Linked DNA regions of Coturnix japonica. The protein of the gene in region 4 binds, or shares a complex with, the protein of the main gene of each other region. Links are inferred from orthologs where the notes say so. Each region holds a gene or a part of one and is shown on either strand. Other genes may lie near its edges. The genes, in order: PHF10, DPF3, ARID1B, SMARCA2, SMARCD3, SMARCC2 and ARID1A.

Region 1 (4,426 bases), on a different chromosome or scaffold from region 4:
TTTTATACTTTAGCGAGGAATCTTATTCTTCTCTTACCTAACGTGCATTGAGTCTCCGTGATAACATTTAGTTCTCTGAGGTAGAGTTTCTCCTTGTGAGACAGATCTCGTCGTTCCAGATCTTAGGGGTAACAAAAAACAGCAACAAAAGCATATAAAGTTACTCAAAATCCCCCATAAATAATGTTAAAGCATTTTGAGAATTTTCAGGTAATGAGTCTGCACCATACAGGAAATGAAATACAAACACAAGGCCAGCTTTACAGTAAGAAATCACCAACTAAATACTTTGGAATTAAGCTGGGGTCAGTCTTCAAAAGCTACTTACTGATCTAACACTCAATTCATTCTTTTGTATAGATTTTTCAGTGGCAAGACTGAAAAGTCTTAAATTACATAGAATTCCTACTTGAAATCTGTAGGATATATTTTCAAAAAGCCAGTAACAAAATCACAAAGTTGAACATACAGAATAGAGATTCACTTTTGCTATGATATTTTAATTAAATGGACCATTCTGTGGTCAAAAAGACACAGAGATTACATTTAAAACCTAAAAAGGCAGATTTTTAGAAGAAAGACTTTTAAATACATATATATATACCTGGATATTTTCTTTTAAAGGAAGTCACACCCAAATATTCACTAACTTGCTCCTGAAGCATATAGTACTCCCCTGTTTCATCTGGCGGCCACTTGTACTCTATCAGGTTTTCAGCAGGAAAATAGCTGTATCTGAGCGTAAGAACAACATCAGAAGAAATCAAAGAATGCTGGGAGAAAAAGACCAATAGCTACTTGCACCACTCAATTCAAACAGTTAAACAAAGAACATGAAAGAACGGAGAAGAGCTAATGCTTCAGCATATCAAATGAAACAGTAAGACTAGCAATAAAAGGCTGTATTACCCGAGGTCCTGACTAGAAGTCTCACAGCTCCGAGAACTGTCCCCTGAGCCCATCCGCCGTCTTTTCGACGGCTGGCTGCCATCATTGGAATTTTCTTCAGTGTCATCCTGAAACAAAGATGAAAACAGATATTTATCAATTTAAAGCATTCAGCGGGTAATTTAAAACATCAAAAACATTCTAATATGAAGTTTAGACATACCTGAAGGACTGAGCTGTTCAACAATAGTCTCTACACAAAACTGACAGGATAGTTTACACAGCAAACGTAAGAACTGATAGACAACTTATGAAAAGATGGAGTAGCAAAAGCTTTTTGTCAATGAAGGGATTAAGAAAATAACCCTAAAGCTACTGACTAATAACACTATATGACTCATACCTATTCTTTGCTTGTTAGCAACAGATCTCAAAGCATCTAGTGATCAGAGTTACATGACTACAAGTGAGAAACAGAAAACAAAGCAGTCGAGCAAGCTGCACATAGTGAGCAGCAGTAGATCCAAGAACAAAACTACCTCAAATAAAAGAAACCATGGACTAGTATGAAAATATCATTAAAATAAATGCCAGTTCAAAAGAATAATAAAATGCAATGTTCAAAATGTTCATACTGATTGTCACTGAATTAAAGTACCCTTTTGGATGGCTGCATTAACAGCTTTCAAGCAAAGCAGGTAATTGTAGATATATATATTTTTTGTAAGTTAGTATCAGCCCTGAGCTGATTTGATTTAGTTGGTCAGCTTTTGCCGGGCACAGAAAGTCATTTAGTTTCCATATGGTCCCATTACTGGGGAATTTTGGTCCAGGCTGTTTGACCTGGATCTCAAATTTCCACTTGGATTGTATTTATAAGTATGGGAAAAGAAACCGCTTTTCTTTTATTTTGTCAGGTATGCTTTGCAACTCTCTTACTTCCTCAGTTGGAAGCTGGACTGAGACTGCTCTTTGCTACAACTAATATAAGTCCACAGCTCATTCCTTTCTCCCACACAGCACCCTGATGCACTGTAGAGTTTAGAGCTGATGGACATAACTACTAAAGCTATGTTTCCTATAGCAAAGCTGACAAGAAACTTCAAAGTATTGCACCGGTTTTCTCTTACTGCATCGAAGTTTTCCCTTTCTGAACACCGTGTTTATAGTACATAAGCACCCACACCGCAGGAGGGACAGCTGCCTCTGCCTCCTCCGCTTTTAGTTTCGCTCACAGAATCACAGAATGACCCGGGTTGGAAGGGACCTCAAGGATCATGTAGTTCCAACCCCCCTGCCTGGCAGGGCCACCAAACATACACCTTTACTAGATCAGGTTGCCCAGGGCCCCGTCCAACCTGGTCTTGAACACCTCCAAGGACGGGGCATCCACAACCTCCCTGGGCAGCCTGTTCCAGGGCCTGACCACTCTCCTAGTGAAGAAGAAACTGCTCCGCAGACGAACACAAAACACGCAAGGAAACAAGGCAGGACGGTGCAAAGGACTCGGCAAACAAGTGAGAACACGACAGTTCAGTCAGAAAAGCTCAGCCGAAACAGGCCTTGCCTTCCTCTTCCTTCCCCGCCTGGCAGAAGCACGCCCAGCACAGCCGCACTGCTGCCTGTTGGTTGGCTCTTTAAAGTTACAGAGCGAAGTCTCCGTACGCCAATCAGCTTCCAGAGCTCCGCCACGACGCTTTATTTTGTAACTGGCAGCCGGAACTACCCAAACCTCCTCCAAAAGTGCCCAACGAGCCGTGCCCGCGGGGCCGCTCGCAGCCAGCCCCAAACTTGGCGTGGTGCGGCGGTCCGGCACGGGCGGCGCTCAGAGGAGCCACGGCGGCCGCACGGGCGCTTGGCCCCGACCCCGCGCCACAACTTCGCCGCAGCCGCGGGAGGCCGCCAACACCCCCGGGCGCCCCACCGCGAGGAGAGCCCGGGCTCAGAGCGGAGCCCCGCGGGGGGGGGGGGCGCCGGCCGAGGCCTCCCGCCGCCCGGCCGCAGCCTCGGGCCGCCCGCCGCGCTCACCTTCAGGGACTGGTTTCCGGGCGTGGCCGGGTCGCTCTCGCAGAGGCGCGGGGACAGCACGGCCGCCATGAGCGCCGCGGGGGCCGCCGCCGGCTGGGCGAGGAGAAGCGCCGCCGCCGCGCGCCCCGGCCTCGCGCCGCGCCCGGCTCCGCCCCCCCTCCCCCTGCGGGGGGTGGCAACGGCCCCTACCGGCCAGCCCGGGCACGAGCGCGGCGCCTCGCGCAGCTCCTGCTCCGCCCCCCTCCGGGCTGCCCGCGGCGACCCCGGCCCGCGCCGCCGGACCGGCACGCGGCCCGCCCCGCCCGCAACGCCGCGCGGGCCCGGCAACGCCGCTCCGCCGCCGCTACCGCCGCCGCAGCCGCGCCCTCCTCCTCCTCCTCCTCCTCCTCCGGCCGCCGCAGCCGCCGCCGCTCGAGCGGCCGCGCGGCCCAACCGCGAGCGCGGGGCCGATCCGCCTCGGCAGCGCTTGGGTAGCAGCGCGGCGCGCAGGGGCAGCATCCCCACGGCGTGGTGGGCGCCGAGCGCCGCCGCCGCCGTCCGGTGCGGGAGCTGGCCCCTGCAGGGCTGGGCTGCTCCGTCTCCGGCGCGTCAGCCGGGGACGAGCTACGTTTGTGAACCATCCACCAGCGCAGGAGGGGTGTACGGGGGGCGGGGGGGAGCACTCGCAGGAAGCCGGTGCGAGCGCTCTCCCCCCCGAGGAGGGCGCTTGAAGCCGGCCCCGCCGCTGCGCGGAAGGAGCGAACGCGCCGCCGTCAACCCGCACCCCCTCCGGCCGCGCCCGTCGCCGCTCCCCCGGCCGTACCTGGCAGGAGAGCCCCCGTCCGCTCCGCGCCTCGGCCCGCACGCGGCCCCGCCCGCACCGCACCGGAGAACAAAGCGCGAAGCCACTCCCACGCGGGGACCGCAGTCCCCCGCCTCGGGCCGCCGTGGATGGCGGGGAGCTGCCGCGCGGCCGGCACCGAAGCCCTAGAGCGCTCCTGCCCGCGCCTTCAGCCTGGGCACCGCTCCGTACAGCCCGTCTGCACAGCCCCGGGCACGTTCAGGGATAACACCGCCAGCCTTAGGAAACGTTTACATGGAGCTCGTAACAATAGAAATGGTGTCAGAGCTCCTTTCCCACATTCCGCAGGATCTGTGCCTCGCGGATCTACCTTAACTCTTATTAGCCCTCGCCGTTGTTGTCTTCTACAGCCCGTTATCAATAGCCATGCTCCAGGGCACGTTCTTCTTGTCCTTGCCCTGAGAAGCTGCTTGCTGAATTCAGCGCTTACTCACCCGCCTGAGCACTGCAGTACTTAGAACAAGACTAATAGTCAACGACCAAACTCAGCCCCTTCCAGGAGCATATGTGGAAATTCACACCAATTAAGCATGTAAAAGATGGCTTCCCAATTCACATTTCTACCTAAAAAAGCCAAACAGCACTGCCTTCTCTCTCAAGAAAGTATGCATTCAAGAAACCCATTACCTACAATTTATTGTAAACATTAACAACTCGATGCATACAACA
Region 2 (3,864 bases), on a different chromosome or scaffold from region 4:
AGGACAGTGAGAAACCAGGTTAATACACTGAGATCCCAACTCTCCTCTGTTTTTCAAACTCTCTGTAAAAGAAAATGGTTCCTGGATCTTTGCCATTTGTCTTTATACAGTTTTTCAGGTTACAGATAGTAAATGGCAATGAACATAGCCACCTTAGTATCCATCTTGTGTGCTGGTAACAAATTTTTGAAGATGTTCAGTATGAGCATAAGTACAATGTGTATAGCCTGAAAACAAGGACACTAAAACTAAACAAGGATGCTTTGACCCACCATAACAATACTACAAGAAATAGATGATGCAAAGAGACCCAAGGGAGCACTAAAGGGACTAATAAAAATCAAGAAAGAGCAGAGCAAATATGGGGGAGGAGGGCTGCTTCATTTTGCACTTATTATTCTAATTTAAAATAACAAAGACATCAGATTTGGTGGCTGAAACAAGTGCAGAAAGCCTGATTCGCTTAAGACTCTCTATGAGGAATGTTCTGCCATTAGTTCCCACTGGAGCCACTGACTCTTTTGCAGGGGAAACCACAGGAAAGTTCAGTAACAGAAGTGAACAAAAAGATTTGCTCAGTGCATTTGCCAAAGGTCATCCATAGAGCCAGTGACAGAGCTCTTGGCTCCTGGTGTGATGCTGTAACTCTTTTAGGATGATTTCCTCCATAAATGCAGAGACACCAATGAGACCCATACAAGACTACGTTTGCTTAGTTTGTAGCAAGTGCTCTTGCCAAGACATCATTTGTGTATATAGTGGATGTATACATGTTTATTACTGAGTTTACAAGGATTAAAAAACAGCATCTTGCTCATAACTTGATGTTACAAGAACAGAAATTGCACAGCCAAACTGATTAGCCAAAAAGAAGAAAAAGAAAAAAAAGGAAAGCTAGCTTTGCAAAAGCTAACAATCTCTTAGGAATTAGGAGGTTTTACATTAGAAAGAAAATAAAAAACGTGGTCACAAACCACATTTAGCATCTCAGATTACTGGAGTAGTTTCGGCAGTTGAAATATTCTTAGGATATATTTAATGTTGGTGAAACACCTGCTGTCTCCTGCAACAGAAGTGGCTGCATTTTACTACAGTTTTCTGGCGGTACTGCAAGACCACACCACACCTACTTTGAGTTTTTTAGGAATAGAAGCAATGTAAAGATATGCCCCCTCCTATCCTAGGAAGCGTTTCAGATAAGCACCCTTCAGAGGCATCAATTGATTTCCTAGTCTGCTCACAGGAGGGGAGGCAAATAACATTTGTGTTCCTCCTGCTACAGCTGCTGCAAGGTAGCCAGTGGAGGAGGTAACAGCAGCCTGCACCTACACACAGTTACAGGTCTGGATTTTTTTCTTTTCTTTTTTTCAGTATGGTTTACAGGAATTGACAGGGATATGTGCACATGGTCAGTGTCTGAGCACAATTGACTCTTTCCTGCCTGGATTCTCCAGTACGCACATTGGGAGGGGAGAAGCGGGGGAAACACAAATCCACTCCTGTATTGTCAGAAAATCCATGCCTGTGCTAACTGTGGATCAGATACTGAGCCACACTCTAGCAAAATTCTCACTGGGTTTCAGGAGTTCTGTTTAAGTAACATCAAGCCTCTGAACTGGTGATTGTCCTCTGCTTTCAAAACAAGCATTTCAGATGGATTTACACTCTAATGAAGGAAGGACTGATCAAAGCCTATTAAAATAACAGTGGTCTTTCCCCCTCTGGACAAGAACTTAGCCAAAGGTATTTGAGGATGCATACCAATTTTTTTCTGCAGCTAAGGAAACTGAGGCTCCAGAGCTGATATCCAAACTTGTCCAGAACAGAACTAGAAGTTATACTTACATTTATAATCATCAGAACAACATTCATTCCAGAAGTTTGACTCTCCTGTATTTCACCTCCACTGTAAATACTGCCCGATACAACCCCTTATATTCACCATTCACCTAAGACTTTCACCTCTGCTTCTCCACCCTGAACATAATTTCAATCCTGCTTACAGAGCAGGGTATTGTGCCTTCTACAGACTGGGATCAATAGCATTAGAAGAGCTACAGTGATACAGCCTTAGAAACTACCATGTCAGGCACTTCTTCGGGTAGAGAGAGAATAATTAGGATCAGCTCTCTGCAGTTACCAAAGGAAATCCCCTGCAGGCACAGAGGTTTAGGCAGTTTCTCTTCTGCATGGCCTGTAGCAGGTTTGAGTTCCTATTAATTAAATCCCATGAGGGCTCAGTGGCCAGACCTCCAGACATGTGCACGCACATGCAGACACAATGCTACCAACCTGGTCCCCTGTGCCGCTTCTCCATCCAGATGTAGCAGTTGTTCTGAGCAACCCCAGTCTGCGAGTCCAGGAAGGGAAGGCGAACGCTCCGCTCAGCACACAGCCGAGAGTTGTAGCTGCGACAGTGCTCAATTGCTTCTTTGTAGAACTGGTCCCCAAGCCTGCCAAAAGAGACAGAGCGGAGATTAGAAAAGGTTGCTCTTCTCCTTAAACAAGACTAGGAAAAGGCGGGCATATATGGTTGTCTTATTCAAATAGGCAACCAGAAAAACTTCCCCTGAACACGTGAAAAGCTGACTGACACCACACACTACCAAAGCAGATCATGCAGAAACTGTCAAAGGATGATACTCTTTAGAAACCAGACACAGATCTTTTCAGAAGGCATTGTTACTGAATGAGCACATGGTATAACCACACTGGCTCCCGACCCAGGGCCAGGCACCATGTACACAGCAGTGACCTCATTCTATTGTCTCTCTTCCCCAGTAGTTTGCCCAGCCAAGTCAGCACACCACACATGTCAATTTTGTGCTATAGCAACTCCTGCAGTATTGTGTGCAACCAAAAAGCCAGACAGGTTTACAACTTCAATCCAGCATTTCTTAGTCCAAAGAACCTGGAAGAGCAAAAGACACAGTCCTCATATTGTGTGTTTCAGAGTCGTGAAAACACACATGTTAATAGCTTGAGCCATGTTTGCAATGCTTACACTAGTTTTCTCTCTACCATTCCAGAGTTTTCCACAGTCGGGTTTAAGGCACCAACAGCAGCAAGCTACAATAGCAGTTGGTAGGATGCAGCATGGCAAATCCTTTGTTCTGGAGCTCAGTGGGAAGAACCATGCTAAAGACAATGTCACTTGTTTCATAAATATTGGTTCAAAAATTCTGACGAATCTTCATATTCCCCTGAGAAAGGTTTGAAAACTGCCTGCTGGAGATTACCAAAATCCTCCCTCCAAATTGTTCTAAACAGGGAAAAGCATCAAAGTAGAGCTACCCTAAGGACACAAAGCAGCTGTCATGCTGGAGCACTGCAAAGTAGGTGGGCCACACTGCTGAAACCTCATTCTTGATCTACTGTCAAGGTGAAATTCAGTCGTGACATGAATAGCTAGGAAAGCTACCCATCAGGGGTAAGTTCATTAGAAAATAGGAGCAGAATGAGATACAGCTTAACTTGCTCTGACTCCAACATTCATTAGTGTGCAAAAAGAGTATAACACACAGCAAGGGAGCTGGAGGGATGCACGCACAAAGGTAAAAGAGGCTCCCTTTGCTGTTCTGTTAGTTGTTTATCTACTACCCTCTTGTATAGGCACAACTGCCATTTTAAGATGCCAGATTGGTGCAAATCACTATTTTTCTGTATCTGACAGCCTGATACTCCTTTTTTTATGTCACTTGTCATTTTCACCTCATGACTTTCATGGGAGCAGTACTCTTTCCCCATGGGCTGTAACGGTGTAGTATTTTCTTGTTGACATGGGGTGATATCAGAAACTTACTGAAGAACAAAAAAAACAGGCAGACATCTCTGGCTCCTCCTTCTCATTTTTTGATAACCAGT
Region 3 (3,837 bases), on a different chromosome or scaffold from region 4:
CCACTATCAAATTCCTGAACGCGTCCAAGTTTGTCAGATCGGTCAACAACAAATAGATTATTTTTCTTTACAATCTTTATTGGCAGCTTGTCAAATTTACTGGCTTGTTTTGGCCTTTCACTTGGATCAGCAATGGCACCAGGAGTGGAAAAAACAATGCTCTTTTCTTCTCCTTCTACGTTTTCATCCTCCCCCTCCTCCTCCTCTTCATCGAAACAGTCAATACATTCGTCACTCTCCTCTTTTCCAGTATCCTCTGCCAAGGACTGGCTATCATCTTTCTTGGCTGATTTGTGATCAAGTGCTTTGTGACCTGGATCTCCCACTTCATATTCCATGAGGATTCCAAAAATGTCAATCAGGCATTTTCTAAAATATTCTACTAAAAGCTCAAGAAATCCAGACAACTAAGGGGAGAAAAAAAAACAACATAAAAAACAAATATTTTTGACTGCATGAAATTTCATACGGAACACTAAATTGTACAACTTCCTGCCTTTTGCTGTGGACTTGTGGCTAGGTCCCTGCATGGCAGAAGCTAATCAAATGAAATTTTTCTAGTGTCTGTCTAATCAGTATGTAACACCAGACCACCACGATTCCATTTGCTTAAAACCTAACAGCTATGAAAAGTACAGTACTTTTCTTCTTATGCACTAGCACCTTAGCTACTTTTTAGCCTAGCTGTTCCATCCTGGGATGTGCCTAATATACTTTATTGTTTCTTCAGAGTACTGAAGTTTCTAACCCTCTTTGCTTTTCTGAATTGTACATTTATTAGACTCTGGAAGTTGACAATTCTTTATCTCTTCCTTTGTCTCTCAGTCTCTAAAACCATCTGTTCTGTTAGAATACACAGTTCAGGTTCGAGGTACTGATATCCCAGATTAGTAATCCATCTCTACTGGTATGACTCTCTTTTTGTGTGATGGTATTTCAAAATTGTCATTAGAGCCCAGTGGTGTAAGTCATCCTTCAGAAACAGTTTTCATTTAGCTTTAATCCTCTTAATTAACTGGTAATCACTTTCTCACAGAAAGGCAGTAGTTGGACTCGATACTAATTTACCCTCAGTTGCTTTATTATTAAAATCTCTTTACTGATATGATACATTCAGCCCAATTGTCTGCCTTTTAATGGTTGTTTTAATTGTGGGCTAACAGATATTTTGCAAAATGCATCCTTTCACCCATTCTGTATTCATACCATTGCCAAAAATCCCAAAGAAATGAGAACAAACAGATGCTTATAAACAGTGGGAATTATCGATTGTCATATGGAGTCCTGACTGACACTAGAAATCAAGTTCAAAGCAAAAGCAACCTCTAAAATCTAAAATGATCTGGTATTCTGTGCAATTTGCACAAGGTGTATTAATGCAGTCTCTACAGAATTCAGGAGATTCATCTCCCTTAATTCCAAACACCTGCAACAGTTACAAGCCTAATCATCTAGATTCTTTTTATAATCAGTGATCTTTTCAAGGCCATTTCCAGGGTATGATTCATCTGACCTATTTTAGATCTCTACTTTAGGATGAGATGAATTATGCTACAGATATCCCTAGTTCTAAAGTTAGGTGGAATGAAACGTATAATCTGTGCCTTTTTATTTTTTTTTAATTTTTTTTTTAAAAAAAAGGTCATTATATTTTAAAAAAGATGAGTTACACTATTAGTAGCCAGGGAGTGAGTGGAGCAGAGAAACTCCATTAGATGGCATTACCAGAACGCCATCTATAACAACCATCTAACAGGCTGATAGGTAGAGCAGGGCTGAAAAATGCTGGGAGGGAGAGAGGCAAAAGCATACACTGTTAAACTGTATGCTACTATCCTGTGTGCAGACAGTGGATTTTAGCCTTTTAATTGTTTGATAAACCTACTAGTTTTGTACAAGCTTACTTTGTGGGTAGAAGGAACAAAAAAACCCCAACAAAATATCTCACAGCCGAGTATAAGGACTAGTGAATAAGACAAATAGCAACTGAAAGACAGTCTCAAATCTAACATCATTCTGCAATGACTTTTTTGGAATGTTTTTTATGTGAAATTACTAACAATGCTATTTTCTGGGATTATCCTTGTTCAACAACAAATGTGAATTTACACATTAGTCTTCTGCCAGTGTTAACACTCTTACATTCCTATGTATTCCTTTCCACAAAAGCTGCTCTCCTTTTAAGCTTATTATTTCCCCAATTCCACCCTTAAGTACATTTTGTTACTCACTGTTATCAAATTACAAATTGAAGTTTTGCAATATTCTGACTTACGTTAACATATTTTAAGAGACTTCAGCATTTTCATATCTATTTTCTTAGTGTTTTCTTTCCTTGGAAAGCTTAGAGGTACTCTGCTTTCCCACCTACCTGAGAGAGGTTGAAAGTAGCGACAGTGCTATCATCATATAGAAGAATATTAATAGTGTCTAGCGCCCAGGTACTTTCAGCCAAAAGACCAGATTTAAGAGACATCATCACTCTCCAGGCCTCAGGAGTTACTGGAGAAAGAAAAGATAAGCATAAAACAGTATTAGTGCAACCTATGAGAGTTGAAGACTTGCGATGTTTTGAAAGAATAAACTGTGATGTTCTGAGGATGCAAAATATATAGGAAATAGTTACTGAATAATTACTGAAACACTGCTTAAGACCCTGGTTTCACCACTTAGCTCCGTTATGTTTTTCTCTCTTACTTAGTGCTAATTCTGGAGAGCATTTTAATGGGGCCATTCTTCTTGACCCTGCTGAAGAAATCATCTTACAAACTTTTAAGAAGCTGGCTATAACAAACAATACATAAATGCAAGTAGAATATTCTGTCATGAATATGGGAACCTGAGGTATGGGAACTGGAACATGTGAAATATAACAGGAATTCAAGATAAGAAGATACTTAGGAAAGAATTTGGAGAGAAACAGAAGTGGCAAATAATATGGCATGAAAAAACGGGCCATTCCGCCTTACTTAGGCAGACACTGTAAGGGCACAGAGCAATAGCTCTGTTGTGAGCTTCCATGGAACAAGAATGTGGAAATCTTTGCTCACCTAAACACTGCACCAGTGATTTAACAGACATTCTGGTGGATCTTTCAACAAATAGCATTTGGAAGCCCAGACAAGCTTTATTTTTAATGTAATATTGCACTTTTTGAGAACTCAGGTCTCCATACAGAAAACTGATTTCATATGGTGTTGAACTTGCTGGTATGAGATTTGTCATCCTCACTGATTCATATTCTATTGCATTTTTAGTGAACACATAATAGCTACCAAAGTTAATTACTTGTCAAAGCAGTCTTAACAAGTAAAGGAAAACAAAAACCAAAGATCCTTTCTCCCAACCTTGCTCCCAAAAGCATTTCGCTTTTGTTTCTGTACTTACCAATATCTTTTGAGGTAATCTTTCGCCTTGGTTTTAAGACTGGCTGCGATGCTTCTACAGAGCCTGGGGGGAAGGTAATTTCTCGCCTAATCGGTGGTGGTTGGGGTGGAGGTCCTGTGACCTGTGACACTGGAACTGTGGGTATAACCTTTTGCATCTTCATGGAGGGTAGGAAAGGAGACTTGCTTGGAGACATACGGTTTTCCAAAGAGCGCTGGAAGGATGCTGGACTTGGAGCTCTAGAGATGTGATTTGGCATAGAGGGTGGTGTCTGGTAGGATGACTGAGGAGGCCTAGTGATAGGCTGCATGGAGGCTGAAGATGACATATAAGAAGGCTGACGTTGGTTGACATGAGAAGGCCACTGACTCTCGTGGTTTATCCTCTGGTCAGGTACCATCATATCATCAGTGCGATTCATCCCTGGATACGGTGGGGCCTGTGCAGGGC
Region 4 (3,864 bases):
TTGGAAGATGCTTTTATCAGTTCAAACCAAGAAAATACACAATGTGTGGTCTCTTCTCACTAATGGATAATGATTAGAAACACTTCAGGTGCAGGTCAAGACCCTTCTTGCCCTGCAGATTCTCAAGGCTAACTATTGCTATCTCAATGGTCTTGATGACAGTGAAAAAGCATGAGAACTCCTTATCTAATTCTGAAAGAAATGTTATCCTCTATACTTTATATATGAATATAAATCATCGTTGAATTGAGGCACTCAGGAAGCAACTTTTAAGACCATGTTTTCTGGTAACCTCTTCTTTAATCTTCCTCATGACCTCCGTACTCTTTGGAGTTCAGACAACCTCACAATCACACTAATAAAACTTGTTTTTGCTCTAGCCACTAACTTTTATCAGCCTTTTGACTTCCATTATTCCCTTTATAACTTGTATGTAATTTTGAAAACTTCCCACAGTAAATCTGTTTCTCTCTAGATTACAGGGATTTAGATTTCCTAACTTTTGTCTTTTGAAGCATCCAATACTACAGCAACCAAGCAGAGTCCCTGAGCCTATTAAACCTAGAAGGTCTGTAATGACAGTACCCTTTCCTAGTTCCTTATATGGGGTGCAATTAGATTACCTTTTTGAGTATAATGTTTCTACTTCTCTTTAACATGATTCTTCTCTGGAAACTCGGTTTACTTGGTTTTTACTACTACATTACGTTGCAAGGACACCTTGTTCAGAAAGTGAAAAATAACAACCTGCAAATGTACTTGAATCATATTATTCACTTTTACCTATATTCGCGTTCTTGAAGAATTTCAACAGGGTCTAATCCTTGTGGCTTTTGAATAGGGCTGATGCGATTCTGCTTTTGCTGCAGCTGAACAATGGGGGAAGGCTGTCCAGGTGGTGGCTGTGGTACAGAAGGCCCAGGCATAGCAGCAGCAGGCTGGGCAGCAGTAGGGGCAGGAGAAGGCCTCCCACTCGGAGATGGTGCAGGAAGTTTCTGCTGTGCACTGGATACACTCATATCTGGGGTTTGGCCTGAATCATAAAAAAAATACTTATTCATAACATGAAATATAGAACACAGGAAGAAATTCAAGACAGTTTCTGCAGAAGAATGTGAGTTCAGAAAAACATTCAAAATTACCAGATAAACACACACTTACATACACACACTTCATTCTGTATTTAAAAAAAAAAAAAAAAGTACTATCCATCAACTATCACAGTTCTCTGTCTGTCCTCAGATTTACCTACAAGCAACAACAATGTATAAGATTTCTGCTGAATGAGAAACACTTTATTCACAAGCCTGTAATACTATATTTACCTTTAAATTTTTCTTGAAAAACAAATTCAAAATATATTCTTAATAATTTCTAATGAATTTCAATACTGCCCACCTTCTTCTTTCAAATCATAAAATGAGCCTGTAAATCCAAATCTAAATATTTTTATTCCAAAAATTATTATCACACCAACTGGTGAAAAAAATGTTACAGTGTTCTTTAAATCTCAAGGACCACAATGTACTTTCAAAGCAATTAAAAAAAAAAAAAAAAAAAAAAGCCTAATTCTAACATGGTTTGAAAACTTGACTTTACAGAAACAAAGAATACAGTTGAAAGACAAACTTCCTGCAATTAAGCATGCTGAGAATATAACTTAAGTACCTATTTTATGGGTGTCCCTCAGGCAGCTTATGTATTTCACTTTGATTATAAAAAGGTGCTTCAAGTTTACTTTGCCTAACTGCAATAACTTCATCTGGCCAAGTGATGAACAAATGGTTAAATTCTCCTTGATATTTAAGTCCTAGGCACAGTAAAGGTTACACTGTTTTGTCTGTATTACTTTTAACTTTTTCTTTTCTTTTCCCCCTATTTTTTTCTCACTCTCTACCTACACTGTCTTACCATAACTCCATGTATGAAATAATACGAGATTTATATTTCCCTATACCTTCATTCCAAGTTTTAGGGGTAATGGCAGCTGTATGTCCAGGTATTCCTGCAGCAGGCCCTGGTCCAGTTGCAGCACCACTCATTGCATGCATCCCAATACCTAACAATTTGGCAGAGGAAAGAACTGTATTAAGAAAGAATTGTATTAAGAAAGAAACATTCAACAACTGTTCTGTTTTATAGGATGCTGGGTAAAAACCCAAAAGCCTCTACTTTTTAGCTAAGTGATATACACTGAAATGAACTATTAAAATCATAACTAGCAAGAAAACAAGATAGACTTAACACTCAATTTCTAATAATCAAAAATGGAAATGTTAATAAAATACAAATGGTACATGGTGTTCAATGTTAACAAAGTTTTCTCAAGACTAAAGTGTGCTCTGCTTACTGCACTGTAACATTTTTTATCATTGGAAGAGAAAGACTAATAAAGAAATTTTTCTTTTCATTATACATACTCAGCAGCATACTATACATAGTTTGTTTTCCTTTAATCTGCTCCAAATTTTCTGTTTTTTCCACATAACAGGAAACTGGAAATTACTCTAAAAAGAGTAAACCTGTGATTGATAAACTATGATTAAAACTCAAAAAATGTCAGGTATAATTCAGGAGGACACTTCTATTTCTGTGTACAATATTCTATTAGTAATAGGTAGGTTCAATGCACTTTCTCAGTATTAAAAAGTTCAGAATGTTGTCCCAAATTATAATGTGAACACTATGCTCCTGTAACATCTCACAAGTAGAACTTTGAGCATTACTTGTGCAATGACACAAGGCCTAGATGCACTTACCAGACTGTCTGTTGAAGGCACTGGGAGGCTGCTGCTGTTGAATGCCTGGAAGGGTCCGCTTTCCCTGAACAGCAAGCTGGAGGTTTTCTGGCAAAGGCTGACCTCTAGCTAACATTTTGTATGCTAGAATCTGAGCCCGAAGTTGGTGCAGCTGTACAGGGCTGAAAGGGGAAGGACCTCTGTTGGGTTGACTCATAACTTGTGGATCCCCAGGTATAATAGGTCCTGGCTGGCTAGGAGTCATCTGGGGTGGAGTTGGACCTCCTCCAGACATCGGGCTGGACACATGCTCTGGTGCTCCTAGTGGAGATGGGTGTGGAGACATATAACCTAAAACAGATGAGATGATCACAAATTTAGCACCCTGACTAGTCAAATCCAAATTCCATCACGTTTCTTTGGCAGTACACAGAGTATAAAAACAGCCCTTTGAAGTCAGGAGGGTTGTAATACTTTCAGCAAGAACAAAGTGCCACCTGAAATTAGCTAAATGAGCTGTTGTCTGAGCAGTTATGGTTCTGTGGTTTAAATATTCCTAAAAAGAACAATCTTACTTTTTTTTTTTTTTTTTGAATGACATATTTTAGCATTAAATACAACAAAGAGATAGCAGAATGGCAGACTAATTCAAGACTAGACTCAGGAGAGACAGAGACATAAATCTGTTGGAGTGCATCCAGAGAAGGGCCACAAAAAATGATCCAAGGGATGAAACACTTCTCCTGTGAGGACAGGCTGAGAAACCTGGGAGCAGAAAGCTCCGACCTGACCTGAAAGCAACTTTTCAGTAAATAAAGAGGGGTTACAGGAAAGAAGGACAGACTCTTCAGCAGGGTCTGTAGTGACAGAACAAGGGGAAATGATTTCAAACTCAAAGAGACTAGATTTAGGCTGGATATAAAGGAAAAGTATTTTACAGTGAGTGTGGCAAGGCTCTGGAACAGGCTGCCCAATGAGGTGGTGGATGGCCAGTTGAGGGCTCTGAGCCCTAGAGTCTTCCTGTGGTAATTCTTGTTTGTTTCAAGCGAGTTAGACTAGATTACCTTTTAGTATCCTTTCCAACTGTTAAAAAGTTAAGATTTTAGTTCACTGCTAATCTTGCAGC
Region 5 (4,334 bases), on a different chromosome or scaffold from region 4:
AACAATTTGGTTTGGGTCAACAAGTAGATACTCAGAGTGAGATGTCACAAGGGCAGCCTGAAGTGTACTGCTGGACAGTAGAAAACACATCAGGAAAAAACATATAGGCATAAAGGTGGTCATTAAAGCTGAATTTATCCATAACAGTTCTGGAAATAGAGCAGAGGGGCGAAAGTGACAGTGAAGGATGATGAAGCCTGTGCAAAAAATCCCTCTTCCCACAGATACAGCGTGTGAGGCCCTGATCAACAGACCAGGAGTTAGAGAAATCTAAGGAATAACTGAAAGAAAGGCGGTCTTTTGAAAAGAACTGCTCAGCAGAGGTGTAACAAACTACTCCAGCAGGGCGAAGTATCACACCTGAGGCTTCTCACCACTGAGATCTGACAGCACAGAGGGATCCTATCTGAACCACACAAAGGGAAGAAGATCTCTTCTGAGCTGGCAGCATGGGAAAGAACAAAGGCAAGATGAAACACACAAGAGCAAAGGGCGAAGTGACCTTAGCAGAGAAACACATGTTTTCAGAAAGATCAAATAAACCCAAAATCTAACAGCTCTCAGTAAATAGTGCAAAATTCTCCTTTCTATTTAATTCTTCAAACAGTACATTTTTTTCTCATGGCATTCTATCCCTGCTTATACACTCCCATTTCTGAAAATGAAACAATAACGATAACAATACCTGCAGTAATCAAGAGAGATCATTTTGCCAAAGAGAGAACAAAAAAACCCAGTAATCTGAAGAGGAGATTTTCCCTGGAGTGGAGGCATAACCTGATTCCAAGGCATGCTGGAAAACTTTACTCTTCAACTTGAATCTTCAAGGAATTGATTCAGATGCAGACAGGCCGCGTGCGGTGATGAGGCTGCAATATCTGCACTCGGGGTAACGGCTCGTTCTTTTATTCGATAGGATATGTAAACAGGTAAATGAAGTTGCAACTTTGGGTCTTTTGTAAGCAATGGAAGACTGGCTGCCTCAACCTGTTTTGACCAAAATGAGCCTGAGGTCAGGAAGAAACTAGAAGTGAAGAACAAACACGGAAGCAAAAGCAGAACCAAAGGAAATAATCATGGAGGGGCGCAGAGGGTCCTACAAGAGGAGCTCAGGCAAAGAGTGATGGACAAGAAGCTCTGTTTCCCCTGACAGGCAGTGGAAAGGTAACAACCAGATGCAGGTACTCAGGCAATGTGGATACCAAGTGAGACGCCTCTCATGGAGAAACAGGCAGTGCAGACAAGTCAGACTTTTCTAGCACCCAAATAACTAATGGAAACAAGTTCTGCTGCATTAATTCTGGTATGAATTAACATTTCTCATGCTTAAGAGGCCAGCAGGCTCCTTTCACATCTACATGGGAAAGAAGCAGGGTCATCCAACTGTCTTAGCAACTCTTGGAAATACCAAAGGAAGAGCAGTGTTGTGCCAACAGAAGCCTTGGAAAAAGAAACAGCTACCCTCGTGCACAGCCCTCCCGGGATGCCTGCGGCCACCCAGCTACAGCCACCCTGAGCCAGACCATCTTAACCAACACACGTGTTCACAGCACAGCTACTGCCACAGATCCGCACACCTGCTTCTGTCATATCTGCCCATCCAGCCACAGACTGCTGATGTACATCGGCACCGCTCTGCCTGCTCACTGCTCTCAGGGAGCAGAATGCCATCTAAAAGTCCTTCACCCTGCAAGCTCATCATAGCCAGGCTCTGCAGTACACAAGAAAGATCCAATACATTTGGAGCAAGCCTGAATTATGGGGACAACCCAGAGGCCTGCAGCGAGCTCCCGAGATTCCTTTGTACAGGAACACGCAGCGGATGTCTTCAAAAAGGTGTCACAGAAGGTGCCAGAACGCTCAGGAGAGAAAACACGCAGGGACTGTCTCCATCTGAGCTATATCTGCGTTTCCTGGGTCTTATTTCCTTAAAAGTGTATCAGCACGAGACATCCGAATGCTATAAATGGTGGTCGCTTTCAACCATCAGTCATTTAAAGAACATCGTTTCTCCTGGCAGCAAAACAAGGTTAGCGTATCCCCTTAAATGGAGATCAAAAACCTGATTCCTTAAACAAAAGCTGGCGATTTTTTAAAGACCTGAGTGATTCCTTTAATTAAGCGCGGCAACCTGACGTTCCCTCGTGGGTGAGCGCCCATCGCCTGGCAGAGATCCGCAGCGCTAATCTCTCCAAGCCCCTGAAAGTCACCTGTTAAGTAGCCAGCGGATACATCAGAGCCAAGGCTGGAGACGAGAACCAGAGGCAGCGCCACACGGCCGCGTCGGACCAGCATCAGAATTGCTTTTCAAAACACAAGTTTGCTTACAGAACAAAGTGTCCTACGAGCCCGTTTGGGTCAGACGCGGTGCAGATCCCGCACCGTGACGAGGCTCGGGAGCACGCTATTCACCAAGCACGGAGAATCAAAGCAGCAATCACAGCACGCAACCCCCCAGACAAAGCCGTATAGCAACGAATCGGTCACATCGTGTGCACCGGCGGCCCCGCGGCTCCCGGGCGAGGCGGGGAGCGGCGCCCCACGGGCGCGCAGCAGGGGCCGCTCCAGCCCGGCGCAGCCTCCGCTCTGCACTCATCCCTCGATCCGGAGCCAGCAGCTCGCTAACTTTCCCGACTCACCACCCCATGGACCAGAAACTCAAAAAGTTTGCTTTTCGTAGCTTTGCGAGCCCCTCCTGTAACTTCGTCTGTAGCCATCGGGGTCTGCTCAGCCTCTCTCACTCTCTCTCTTCCTCTTTCTTTCCCTTTTCTGCCTTTTTCTCCAACTCTCCCCTCTGAGTCCTGCTGGGCTCTCACACTTCTAATAGCGCGGAGTGGGGAGGGGGCCCCTTCAGGGCCTTCCTGACGGCCCACTCGCGCTCGGCCTCAGCTGCTGCATTCCTCCACTGATAAGCCAGAAATAGTTTGCGCTGCCGGGCTCTGCGTGTTTACTCTGCGGGGACAGAAAATCCCGCTTTTTAAACCTCTCTGTCCAAACACCCGAGATAAGAGCCAGGCAGATTGAAAACACGTCCCGGCCTTTCGCGGCGGAGCCGCAGCCGCTCCTCCTCGGCGCAGGGGATGGTAAATTCTGGGGCAAGGGGGAGGGGGCGGCCTCGGCTCCCGGGGAGTTTTCCCATTACAATATGCGGCGGGAGAGCGGGGAGAAACAATGGCTCCCCCCGTTCGCAGCGCTCCGCCCGCGCCGCGCTCCAGGCCCCGTCCCCGGGGACCGCCGGCAGCGGGCAAACATTCGCTGGCGGCGATTCCAGCGCCAGGATGAGAACGGCCCCTGCGGCGAGAAGAGGCGGCGGGAGGCGGAGAGACGGGAGCGGGCAGGGACGGAGCGGGGGAGAAGGGATGGGGGGCGTGCGAGCAGCGGGGGCGGCATAGCGGCATAGCAGCACGGCAGCACGGCAGTATGGCAGTATGGCAGTATGGATGTATGGCAGCACGGCAGTATGGCAGTATGGCAGTATGGCAGTATGGATGTATGGCAGTATGGATGTATGGCAGTATGGCAGTATGGCAGTATGGATGTATGGCAGTATGGCAGCATGGCAGTATGGCGGCGGCCCCGCCCGGGGCGATCTGTCCGGGGCTCTCCGGCCCCGCTACGCCCCGTGTGACTGACGGCTGCAGACGCCGCGATCCCCGCAGCTCGCCGTTGTGCTGCCGCAGCTCGCGGCTCCTCGTGCACAGCCCCGCGCGGCACCACGAGACCCCGCGGCCCATCGGGGGGGAAGGGGCCTCTGCAGCGCTTCTCGGCGGCCCCTCCGTGATGGAGAGCAGTAATAACGGCTCTGCGGTGCACAGCGGCAATAACGGCTCTGCGGTGCACAGCGGCGGGGCCGCCTCCATGACGGCACAGCGGCGTGGCCGTGGGGCTCTGCTCACCGCGGTGTGTGCGGCTGGAGGGGGCGGCTGCCTCCCGTCCGCCTGATACATTGATAGAGGTGTTGCCAGAGGGGTTTGTTCTGTTCCTCTCCTTGAGATTGATGTCTATAGACTCTGAATTTTTTGGCAAGGCTGCAAGTAGAAGGGAATCAGAAGGGAACCTGAATTGAATAAAATCGCTGCTCTCACCCAGTGGTTAAAAACAAGCACCAAAAAGACACTGAATCGGGCAGCAGCGAGGAGCAGCCCATGGCGAACACACGGCATCGTGTGCGCGGGGACTGAGGAGCAGCCTCTGCTGATGTTCAAGGTGACCCCGGCCCAGGCAGCGCCGTGTAGGATAGCGCAGCAATGACAGCGTTTGGGCGTGTGGGGGCTGCTCTCAGCGCCCTCCCCCTTCCGCTCCCTCGGACACACCCAGCGCAGCAGCGCAGCCTC
Region 6 (4,635 bases), on a different chromosome or scaffold from region 4:
CCAATACAAAAAGCCACCTGGTGCCTCTTAATAATGTCCTTCAGTTTACTCAGCAGCTTGGGCTCAATCTCCTGGTGCAGGAAGATGTTGGGCCGGGACAGGCAGTTGTTCTGGGGAAGGAAAGCAAAGGATTAAACAGAGCTGGGAACAAATAGAGGAGGTGGGGAGGAGGGGAGGGAAGCAGCTCCCACCTGCACCAGGGATTTCTCGATGGTCATAAACATCTCCACGTTGCGATCCATCCGCGAGGGATTCTGGAAATCGAAACGCCGCCTTATTGGAAGAAAAGAGCGACTCTCATGAAAGCCACAGCTCAGGTCTCCTCATCACTCAGCCCCATTTTACCCATTAAAGGGGGGTGGGGGGACACCCCAACAGGGATCTGTGTATGGGGCTGTGACCCACAGATGGGCAGCCAACACACTGCCCAACCCAGGGCTGTAACCGCCCCCATTGTGCCCCATAGAGCAGACAAATCTCTGCCTCCCCCCTCCCAACCCCACCACCACCCTTAATTCCATCCCATCCTCCCTATGATGCCGCTCACCATCCTTGGTCGCTCTTGAACTTATAAGCAGCCGCCAAGATGTGGCACAGGGCTCCCCCCGCCTTGAAATCCAGGAAGCATTTGATCTGGAAAAGGGGATGGGAGGACTCGGGGGGGGGGCTGCCCCACAGCGGGCAATACCCCACAGCGGGCAGTGCCCCACAGCAGGCAATACCCCATACATAGCAGGCAATGCCCCACAGCGGGCAGCACTGGGACTCATCCCTTCTCCCTATTGTCCCCATTGCTGTCCCTGCTCCATGCCATGGGGGCGACCACCCCAACAACCCCCCCGCCCAACCCCAGCCCCAAAGAGCCCCCCAAAGGGATGGGAGTGGGGAAGAGGAGGGTCCCCATGTGTCCATCCCTCCCAGCTGGGCCGTGTGGGGCCTGGGGGGCTCTCGCAAAGACCCCTCCAAAGGGGGTGGGGGGTGGGAAGGGGGAGGGTCCCATGTGTCCCCCCCCCACCAAGGCATTGCAGGACCGGGGGGGTCTCACAAAGACCCCCCTAAAGGAGGGGGGGGGGGGAAGAAGAGGGTCCCTATGTGTGTCCCCCCCAGCTGGGCCATTTGGGGCTGGAGGGGTCTCGCAAAGACCTCCCCAAAGGGGGGTGGGGGGGTGGGTCCCCATGTGTTCCCCCACACCAAGGGCCGGGGGGGTCTCGCAAAGACCCTTCCAAAGGGGGTGGGGGGTTGGGAAGGGGGAGGGTCCCATGTGTCCCCCCCAACCCAGGGCATTACGGGGCCGGGCCGTGCGGGTCCGGGGGTGTCTCAGGTCTTTCAAAGACCCCTCCAAAGGGGGTTGGGGGGTTGGGAAAGGGGAGGGTCCCCATGTGCCCCCCCCCCAGCTGGGCCATTTGGGGCCGGGGGGGTCTCGCAAAGACCTCCCCAAAGGGGGGTGGGGGGGTGGGTTCCCATGTGTCCCCCCCAACCCAGGGCATTGCGGGTCCGGGGGTGTCTCGGGTCTTGCAAAGACCCCTCCAAACGGGGTGGGGGGTGGGGGGTGTCCCCATGTGTCCCCCCCAACACCAAGGCATTGCGGGGCCGGGGGGGTCTCGTAAAGACCTCCCCAAAGGGATGGGGGTGGGGAAGACCCCTCCAAAGGGGGTGGGGGGTGGGGAAGGGGAGGGTCCCATGTATCTCCCCCAACACCAAGGTATTATGGGACCGGGGGGGTCTCACAAAGACCCCCCTATAGGGGGGGGGGGGGGGAAGGGGAGGGTCCCATGTATCTCCCCCAACACCAAGGTATTATGGGACCGGGGGGGTCTCACAAAGACCCCCCTATAGGAGGGGGGGGGGGGAAGAGGAGGGTCCCTATGTGTCATCCCACATTTGGGGCCTGGGGGGTCTCACAGAGACCCCCTCAAAGGGATGGGGGTGGGAAGGGGGAGGGTCCCTATGTCCTCCCCACCCAGCTGGGCCATTTGGGGCCAGGGGGGTCTCGCAAAGACAACCCCAAAGGAACGGGGGTGGGGAAGAGGAGGGTCCCTATGTGTCCCCCCCAACACCAAGGCATTGCAGGGCCGGGGGGGTCTCACAAAGACCCCTCCAAAGGGGGGGGGGGGTCCCACGTGTCCCCCCCAACCCAGGGCATTACGGGGCCGGGCCCTGCGGGTCCGGGGGGGTCTCACAAAGACCCTCCTAAAGGAGGGGGGGGGGGAAGAGGAGGGTCCCCACGTGTCATCCCACATTTGGGGCCGGGGGGGTCTCGCAAAGACCCCTCCAAAGGGGGTGGGGGGGTTGGGAAGGGGGGGGGTCCCCATGTGTCCCCCCCCCCCCCCAGCTGGGCCATTTGGAACCGGGGGGGTCTCGCAAAGACCTCCCCAAAGGGATGGGGGTGGGGAAGACCCCTCCAAAGGGGGTGGGGGGGTTGGGAAAGGGGAGGGTCCCATGTGTCCCCCCCAACCCAGGGCATTACGGGGCCGGGCCTTGCGGGTCCGGGGGTGCCTCGGGTCTTGCAAAGACCCCTCCAAAGGGGGTGGGGGGGTTGGGAAGGGGGAGGGTCCCCATGTGTCCCCTCCACCCCAGCTGGGCCATTTGGGGCCGGGGGGGTCTTACAAAGACCCCTCCAAAGGGAGGGGGGGGGGTCCCATGTGTCCCCCCCAACCCAGGGCATTACGGGGCCGGGTCGTGCAGGTCCTGGGGTGTCCCTGGGGGGGGTTGCGGGGTTTGCGGGTCCCTTTGTCCGCCCGGCCCAGTCACGCACCGGCAGTTTGGTGAGCGGCGCGTTGCTGACGTGCTTCCCGAACACTTCCTCCTGGAACTGCAGCAGTTGAACCACGAGACTCGACAGCGATTTGTTGGTGGGGGGCTCGGCCTGGATGTACTGCGGGAGGGGGCTCAGCCTCGGGCCTGGCTCCGTGTAAAGCGGAGCCGTGAGGCCTATGAGGGATCCCGAACGATCCGTACCTTCTTGTAGTTCTTGCCCAACCAAAGGCGGACGTTGTCGAATTGACTGACGGTGTCCGAGGCCTCGTAATATTTGACGTTGGGGCCGCCGTCCTTCTTCCGCACCGCCATCTTCCAGCGGGCCGGGCCGCTCCCCGCCGTGACGTGACGCAGCGCCCCCTGCCGGTAACGAGGGGTACTGCAGGACGGCGCCCCCTGCCGGTAATGAAGGGTACTGCGGGACGGCGCCCCCTGCCGGTAATGAAGGGAACTGCGGGACGGCGCCCCCTGCCGGTAATGAAGGGTACTGCAGGACGGCGCCCCCTGCGGGCAGAACAGGGGTGAGTGTGCACAGCGCCCCCTGCAGGCCGAATGGAGATGAGTGAACACAGCGCCCCCTGGCGGCACGGAGGACCCGATGGATGGGGGCGGTGTGCCGGGTCTAGGCGGAGCGCGGATGAGGGAGGCGCTGAAGTCACGGTGGCCGAGAGGTGAAGGCGTTGGACTCGAAATCCAATAGGGTTTCCCTGCGCAGGTTCGAATCCTGTCCGTGACGGAGCTTTATCTTTTAATGGGGGGGGGGTCCCTTTTTAATGTGGGACTCTGTATAACACGGAGCAGTTCAGAAAGGCTCGGCCCCTTTTAGTGTGACCCCCCCCCCGACCCCTCCTAGAGCAGCCACAGCTTCGCTACAGAAACCAGAACAGCCGTTTTTATTGATCGCTGAACGCCCCCCCCCCCCCCCCCCCCACCAACAAGGGGGGGGGAGACCCGGAACCGCATCGTACAGACAGCGGAAAATAGGGGGAAGGGGGGGGGAGGACCGTAAAAAAAACCAACGTAACGAATGAGAATAAATTAAAGTCCCATAGGGTGAATGGGGGGGGGTAAGGGGGGGTATGAAGCCATCGGTGGCACTCCAAAATCAAAGGGGGGGGGAGGAGAATGGAGGGGGGGGGTAAGAATGGAGGGGTGGGGGAAGGCTGAGTAGTACAAAATAATACAGAACCACGAGCACGAGTGGCTGCAGAGGAACAGCAGTGGGGCAGAGGGGGCTCCTATTGCCCCCCAGGGTGGTGCCAGACCCCCTCCCTGCTCCCCCCACCCCCCCCCCTCATTGGCTCCCCCTCGCCCATAAATGCCCAGCTCTGCCTTTAGGGTTAAATGGGGAGAGGGAGGCCAGGCCTGGCCCCCTGGGACAGACACAGGCAGCATAGGGCAGAGAGCACAAGGGAGGCAGCCGGGGGGGCTGCAGGCACAGCGTGAGCATCCGTGGGGCTGGAAGCCCATGGGGCTGGAAGTCCATGGGGCTGGAAGTCCATGGGGCAGCAGCCCAGCAGTACCCGGGGTGCAGCTGTGCCTCCTCTGCCCCCTCTGAAGACACCAAGTGGGGATATGGAGCTGCAGGGGGCAAATGGGGGGTGGGCTGGGGTGGATGCAGCGGTTATAAGGGGGACTTGGGGGGAAGGGGGGGGGACATGGAATCGTTTCATCCAGCTGTGAGCAGAGCCCGGCCATTGGCAGCATCCACCCCAGGCCTCGGTCCCAGCCCCCTCCTCAGCACAAAGCATCGCTTCTTCCAACGTCCATTTATATTTCCTCCACTCCGTGTGCAAATATCATCACCAGCCCCGGCTCCAGCACCATGTCCTCACCCATGTGCTGGTTCTCACAGGCCATCACCACCACGGCCTGTTT
Region 7 (3,864 bases), on a different chromosome or scaffold from region 4:
ACAGTCACAGAACTTAAGCAACTAACATTTGTGGAAAAGATCTGGAAAAGCCAAACAACGAGCCTGCATCAAACATTCAGAGACCAAAGGGCCAGTGACAGTTGAATACGATGCCAGAAGCCAAAACACTTGCAGTTATAATGCTGGCACAGCCTTTAGATGCTGTCTCACCACAGAATTCATATTATCAGGACAGGTAATTTTTAGCTACGCATCTAGCTCTACAAACAGATTTGTACCATTAGAACTTCTCTAAGCCAAATCACATACCTCGATCTTGAGCTATGCTTGACTGGCTCATGGAAGGATGCATGATACTGTCTGACTGGCCACTGGGTGGTCGCGGCGGCATCTGATTGCCTGCACCACAAAAAGGAGAATGGTTAATCACAAGAATTGCTCACCACAAAATCAAAGATGCAACAGTGTTAAAAACCAGAACTACAAACAGTTGCACAAGGGCATTTTAGCCACAGTGAAGGAAAAAAAAGAGCAAGATCAACCACACTAACCCAGGAAAATGACACTGCTGGTTTGTCAGCTACCCCACCCACTGGACTGTATTCTGTACATGTTACAGGCATTTCAAAGGAAAAAAAAAAAAAGAAGATGGAAGAGATTGCAAGCTCTCAATAGCCACAAAATACTGACACTGGCCAGTTTCTCCCCACCAACAATTTTAACCAAAGGATCACTAGGTGCCAAGCTGTGTTACCTGGTACTGCAGCAGGTGAAAGTGGACCAGAGCGGGACTGAGCAACACTAGCTGGAGAACCAACAGGGGATGGGGAAGGTCCTCTGATGCCTGGCAGATGAGGAGAGGTATGTGGAGAGAAAGGAGACTGAGCTGGGTTACTCTGCTCTCCTTGACTGCTGGAAATCCCTGATGTGCTTACTCCAGGACTCAGGGCTCCTTCTGTACCCATGGGTAGATCATCTATTGAACCAGACAGGTCCTGCAATACATAAAGAAACAGATCAGCCATCAGCAAATAAAGAGACATGGGACTACTCTCTCATATACCACCCAGAAAGTGAATTTCACCCTTAGGCATACTACAAATTGAAATCAATCAACTTGGCTCATGTCATTGTCAGTAATAAAGGTTGTTGAAGACTGAGGTAACTGCTGAATGTGTTGTATCCTGCTACCTGCCCCTGAATCGAGCAGTTCCCTTGGTACTTTGATGAATGTCTGCTGATGGTCCTAACACCTACTTCTTTTAATTCAATTTAGAGGCAAGAAACTATATCAACAATACACATAAAGCTGCATATGGAGAAGGTACTCAGTGTGACTATGATTTGGAACAGAAACATGGCTCATCCTCTCAACAACAGAAAACTCCTGCCTCATTCATGAACCTCATGTGAGCTGGGAAACTACTCACTTGAGATGAATAAAAATAAATAAATAAATAGATTTTTTCAAAGAAAACCGTAGAACATTCCTCAGGGTTTCCACTTCCCTTTCTTCAAAGATAGCAAAATCTAGCATGTACAGTATTGACATTCAAAGTTTAGGACTTTTTTCTTTTCTCTTTCTTTTTTCCAGAGAATACCCTTCATGTTGCATATATTAAGCATGTAAAAGGAAAGTACCAAAAACCAGCATGGCTTCACCAAGGGCAGATCTTGCCTGACCAATCTGCTGGTGTTCTATGACGGAGTGATGGCATTGGGGGACAGGGGAAGATGACAGCCATCACCCTTCAGGTACTCTGCAAAGCCTTCAGCATGGTCCCTCACCACATCCTTCTCTCAGAATTGGAGAGGTATGGATTTGAAGGATGGACTGTTTGGCAGACTAAGAATTGGTTGGCTGGTTGCAGTCAAAAAGTTGTGATCAATGGCTCTGTGTCAGGGTGGAGGTCAGTCACAAGTGGTGTCCATCAGGGGTTGGTTTTGGGACCAGTGCCTTTCAACGCAATGGCACCGAGTGCAGTCTCATCAAGTCAGCAGACAACACCAAGCTGAGTGGTGCAGTCAATACACTGGAGGGAAGGGAAGCCATCCAGAGAGACCTGGACAGGCTGGAGAAGTGGAGCCATGAAAACCTAATGAGGTTCAACAAGGCCAAGTGCAGGATACTGCACCTGGGCTGGGGCAATCCCAGGTATTTATACAAGCCAGGGGAAGACCTCCTTGAGAGGAGCACTGCAAAGGACTTGAGGGTCCTAGCGGACAAAAAGCTGGACATGAGCAAGCAGTGTGCGCTTGCAGCCCAGAAGGACAACTGTGTTCCAGGCTCCATTAAAAGAGGAGTGGCCAGCAGGGAGAGGGAGGTCACTGTCCCCTCTACTTGACTCTTGTGAGGCCCCATCTGCAGTACTGCGTCCAGGCCCAAGCCCCCCAGTAAAAGGACATGGAGCTCTTGGAACAGGTTCAGAGGAGGAGCCACTAAGATGGTCAGAGGGCTGAAGCACATCTCCTATGAGGGAAAGATTTAGGGAACTGGGTTTGTTTAACTTGGAGAAGAGAAGGCTGTGGGGAGACCTCCTTATGGCCTTCCAGTACTTGAAGAGAAAGTATAAACAGGAGGGGGAACAGCTGTTTGCAAGGGAAGATAGTGACAGGACAAGGGGGAATGGTCTTAAACTGAGACAGGGGAGATTTAGGTTGTATATTAGGAAGAAGTTTTTCACCCAGAAGTTGGTGACACACTGGAACAGGTTGCCCAAGGAGGCTGTGGATGCCCCATCCCTGCAGGCATTCAAGGCCAGGCTGGATGTGGCTGTGGACAGCCTGGGCTGCTGGTTGGCGACCCTGCACATAGCAGGGGGGTTGAAACTAGATGATCACTGTGGTCCTTTCCAACACAGGCCATTCTATAATTCCGTAATTCTATGAAAAACCTAAAAAAGTTGAAATCTTCTATTTCAACAACACTCACTGCAAAGCAACAGTGCCAAAAATCACTTGGTAAGTCTCAAAAATGGAGATATACTTGGGAATACTCCAAACACAACTGCATTGGCTGCTTGATGCTAAGCTGCATTGGCTACTCAGGGTCAACCTGGAGTAAGAGGGCAAGGAATAGTCCACAGCAGAGTAATACAGTCTGTTATGGCACATTTGAACACTGAAAAGTTGCTACTCCAGCAATTAGAGATTCAGAACATCACAGTAGGTTAAGAAATGGCAGACCAAAGCTTACTAGGCCCTTGTCTACCCTTTGCAAGTCTTCCAGAGCAATCAACCCTAGCTCAGAAGTGCTCTGGATTGAGCGCAGAAAGCCATTTTAGATAAGGTTCCTCTCAACACAATTCAGCTGATTAGCACAGAGCCAACCTCACTGAAAAAAAACATGCAGAAAGACTGGGAATCCTGAAAAGTCACTGAGATACCCTGGTCCCGTTTACACTGCCTGGACAATGCCTCGTTTAGCAGCAGTTCCAGGAACTCTCCTAACTCCCTGTGACACGCAAGGACCTCATACGCAAGATACTGCAAGCGTATCAGCCTCCAGAAGCAAGTGCTTTGACCACACCTTAGAAAGCAGAAAACTGGGGTTACAGAAGATAAAATAACCTAAGAAATATCCAACAACCTCATCACACTTGTTGAACAGAGAGCAACACTCAAAACGACAAAGGGGAGCGATGGGGATCAACTGCACCACTTTCAGTTGTCTGCTGTAGTAGGGCAATCTTGTCTGTTTTACAGTAGAACTGGTTAACAGTGTTTCTAGGAAATGCTGGAAAATGCTACATTTGAGCTGGAAATGCCAGTTACTTGATGGGAGAACTCTGTTTGTAGTATGTCCTTGTTCTCCTTCCACCACTACATCAGTCTGGTAGATAACTTCCTGCATGGCAGTCTCAGAGGTACATTTGTTTATTTATGATGTATTACCTCTCTGAA

What was found.
Region 1: SMARCA2 (region 4) and PHF10 share a complex: the UniProt entries of both Homo sapiens proteins name them as parts of the neural progenitors-specific chromatin remodeling complex. The link is inferred for Coturnix japonica from reciprocal best matches to the Homo sapiens genes SMARCA2 and PHF10.
Region 2: SMARCA2 (region 4) and DPF3 share a complex: the UniProt entries of both Homo sapiens proteins name them as parts of the BAF complex. The link is inferred for Coturnix japonica from reciprocal best matches to the Homo sapiens genes SMARCA2 and DPF3.
Region 3: SMARCA2 (region 4) and ARID1B share a complex: the UniProt entries of both Homo sapiens proteins name them as parts of the neuron-specific chromatin remodeling complex. The link is inferred for Coturnix japonica from reciprocal best matches to the Homo sapiens genes SMARCA2 and ARID1B.
Region 5: SMARCA2 (region 4) and SMARCD3 share a complex: the UniProt entries of both Homo sapiens proteins name them as parts of the BAF complex. The link is inferred for Coturnix japonica from reciprocal best matches to the Homo sapiens genes SMARCA2 and SMARCD3.
Region 6: SMARCA2 (region 4) and SMARCC2 share a complex: the UniProt entries of both Homo sapiens proteins name them as parts of the BAF complex. The link is inferred for Coturnix japonica from reciprocal best matches to the Homo sapiens genes SMARCA2 and SMARCC2.
Region 7: SMARCA2 (region 4) and ARID1A share a complex: the UniProt entries of both Homo sapiens proteins name them as parts of the neuron-specific chromatin remodeling complex. The link is inferred for Coturnix japonica from reciprocal best matches to the Homo sapiens genes SMARCA2 and ARID1A.

The regions. Positions count from the first base shown.
Region 1 is NC_029518.1:36,956,191-36,960,616, reverse strand, and holds the start of PHF10 (PHD finger protein 10), read right to left. Parts: upstream 3,051-4,426; 5' UTR 2,986-3,050; coding exon 2,917-2,985; intron 1,017-2,916; coding exon 910-1,016; intron 736-909; coding exon 605-735; intron 122-604; coding exon 38-121; intron 1-37. UniProt on the Homo sapiens protein: Involved in transcription activity regulation by chromatin remodeling. Belongs to the neural progenitors-specific chromatin remodeling complex (npBAF complex) and is required for the proliferation of neural progenitors.
Region 2 is NC_029520.1:23,819,192-23,823,055, reverse strand, and holds part of DPF3 (zinc finger protein DPF3), read right to left. Parts: intron 2,454-3,864; coding exon 2,293-2,453; intron 1-2,292. UniProt on the Homo sapiens protein: Belongs to the neuron-specific chromatin remodeling complex (nBAF complex).
Region 3 is NC_029518.1:46,525,883-46,529,719, reverse strand, and holds part of ARID1B (AT-rich interactive domain-containing protein 1B), read right to left. Parts: coding exon 3,388-3,837; intron 2,503-3,387; coding exon 2,372-2,502; intron 408-2,371; coding exon 1-407. UniProt on the Homo sapiens protein: Involved in transcriptional activation and repression of select genes by chromatin remodeling (alteration of DNA-nucleosome topology).
Region 4 is NC_029547.1:23,971,513-23,975,376, reverse strand, and holds part of SMARCA2 (probable global transcription activator SNF2L2), read right to left. Parts: intron 3,090-3,864; coding exon 2,760-3,089; intron 2,060-2,759; coding exon 1,958-2,059; intron 1,034-1,957; coding exon 784-1,033; intron 1-783. UniProt on the Homo sapiens protein: ATPase involved in transcriptional activation and repression of select genes by chromatin remodeling (alteration of DNA-nucleosome topology).
Region 5 is NC_029517.1:105,850-110,183, forward strand, and holds the start of SMARCD3 (SWI/SNF-related matrix-associated actin-dependent regulator of chromatin subfamily D member 3), read right to left. Parts: upstream 2,847-4,334; 5' UTR 2,718-2,846; coding exon 2,640-2,717; intron 1-2,639. UniProt on the Homo sapiens protein: Involved in transcriptional activation and repression of select genes by chromatin remodeling (alteration of DNA-nucleosome topology).
Region 6 is NC_029544.1:895,542-900,176, forward strand, and holds the start of SMARCC2 (SWI/SNF complex subunit SMARCC2), read right to left. Parts: upstream 3,114-4,635; 5' UTR 3,070-3,113; coding exon 2,959-3,069; intron 2,876-2,958; coding exon 2,756-2,875; intron 640-2,755; exon of another isoform or gene 634-639; coding exon 548-633; intron 274-547; coding exon 192-273; intron 111-191; coding exon 18-110; intron 1-17. Other genes in the region: RNF41 (E3 ubiquitin-protein ligase NRDP1), read right to left, coding at 4,528-4,635. UniProt on the Homo sapiens protein: Involved in transcriptional activation and repression of select genes by chromatin remodeling (alteration of DNA-nucleosome topology).
Region 7 is NC_029538.1:63,371-67,234, forward strand, and holds part of ARID1A (AT-rich interactive domain-containing protein 1A), read right to left. Parts: intron 957-3,864; coding exon 716-956; intron 361-715; coding exon 271-360; intron 1-270. UniProt on the Homo sapiens protein: Involved in transcriptional activation and repression of select genes by chromatin remodeling (alteration of DNA-nucleosome topology).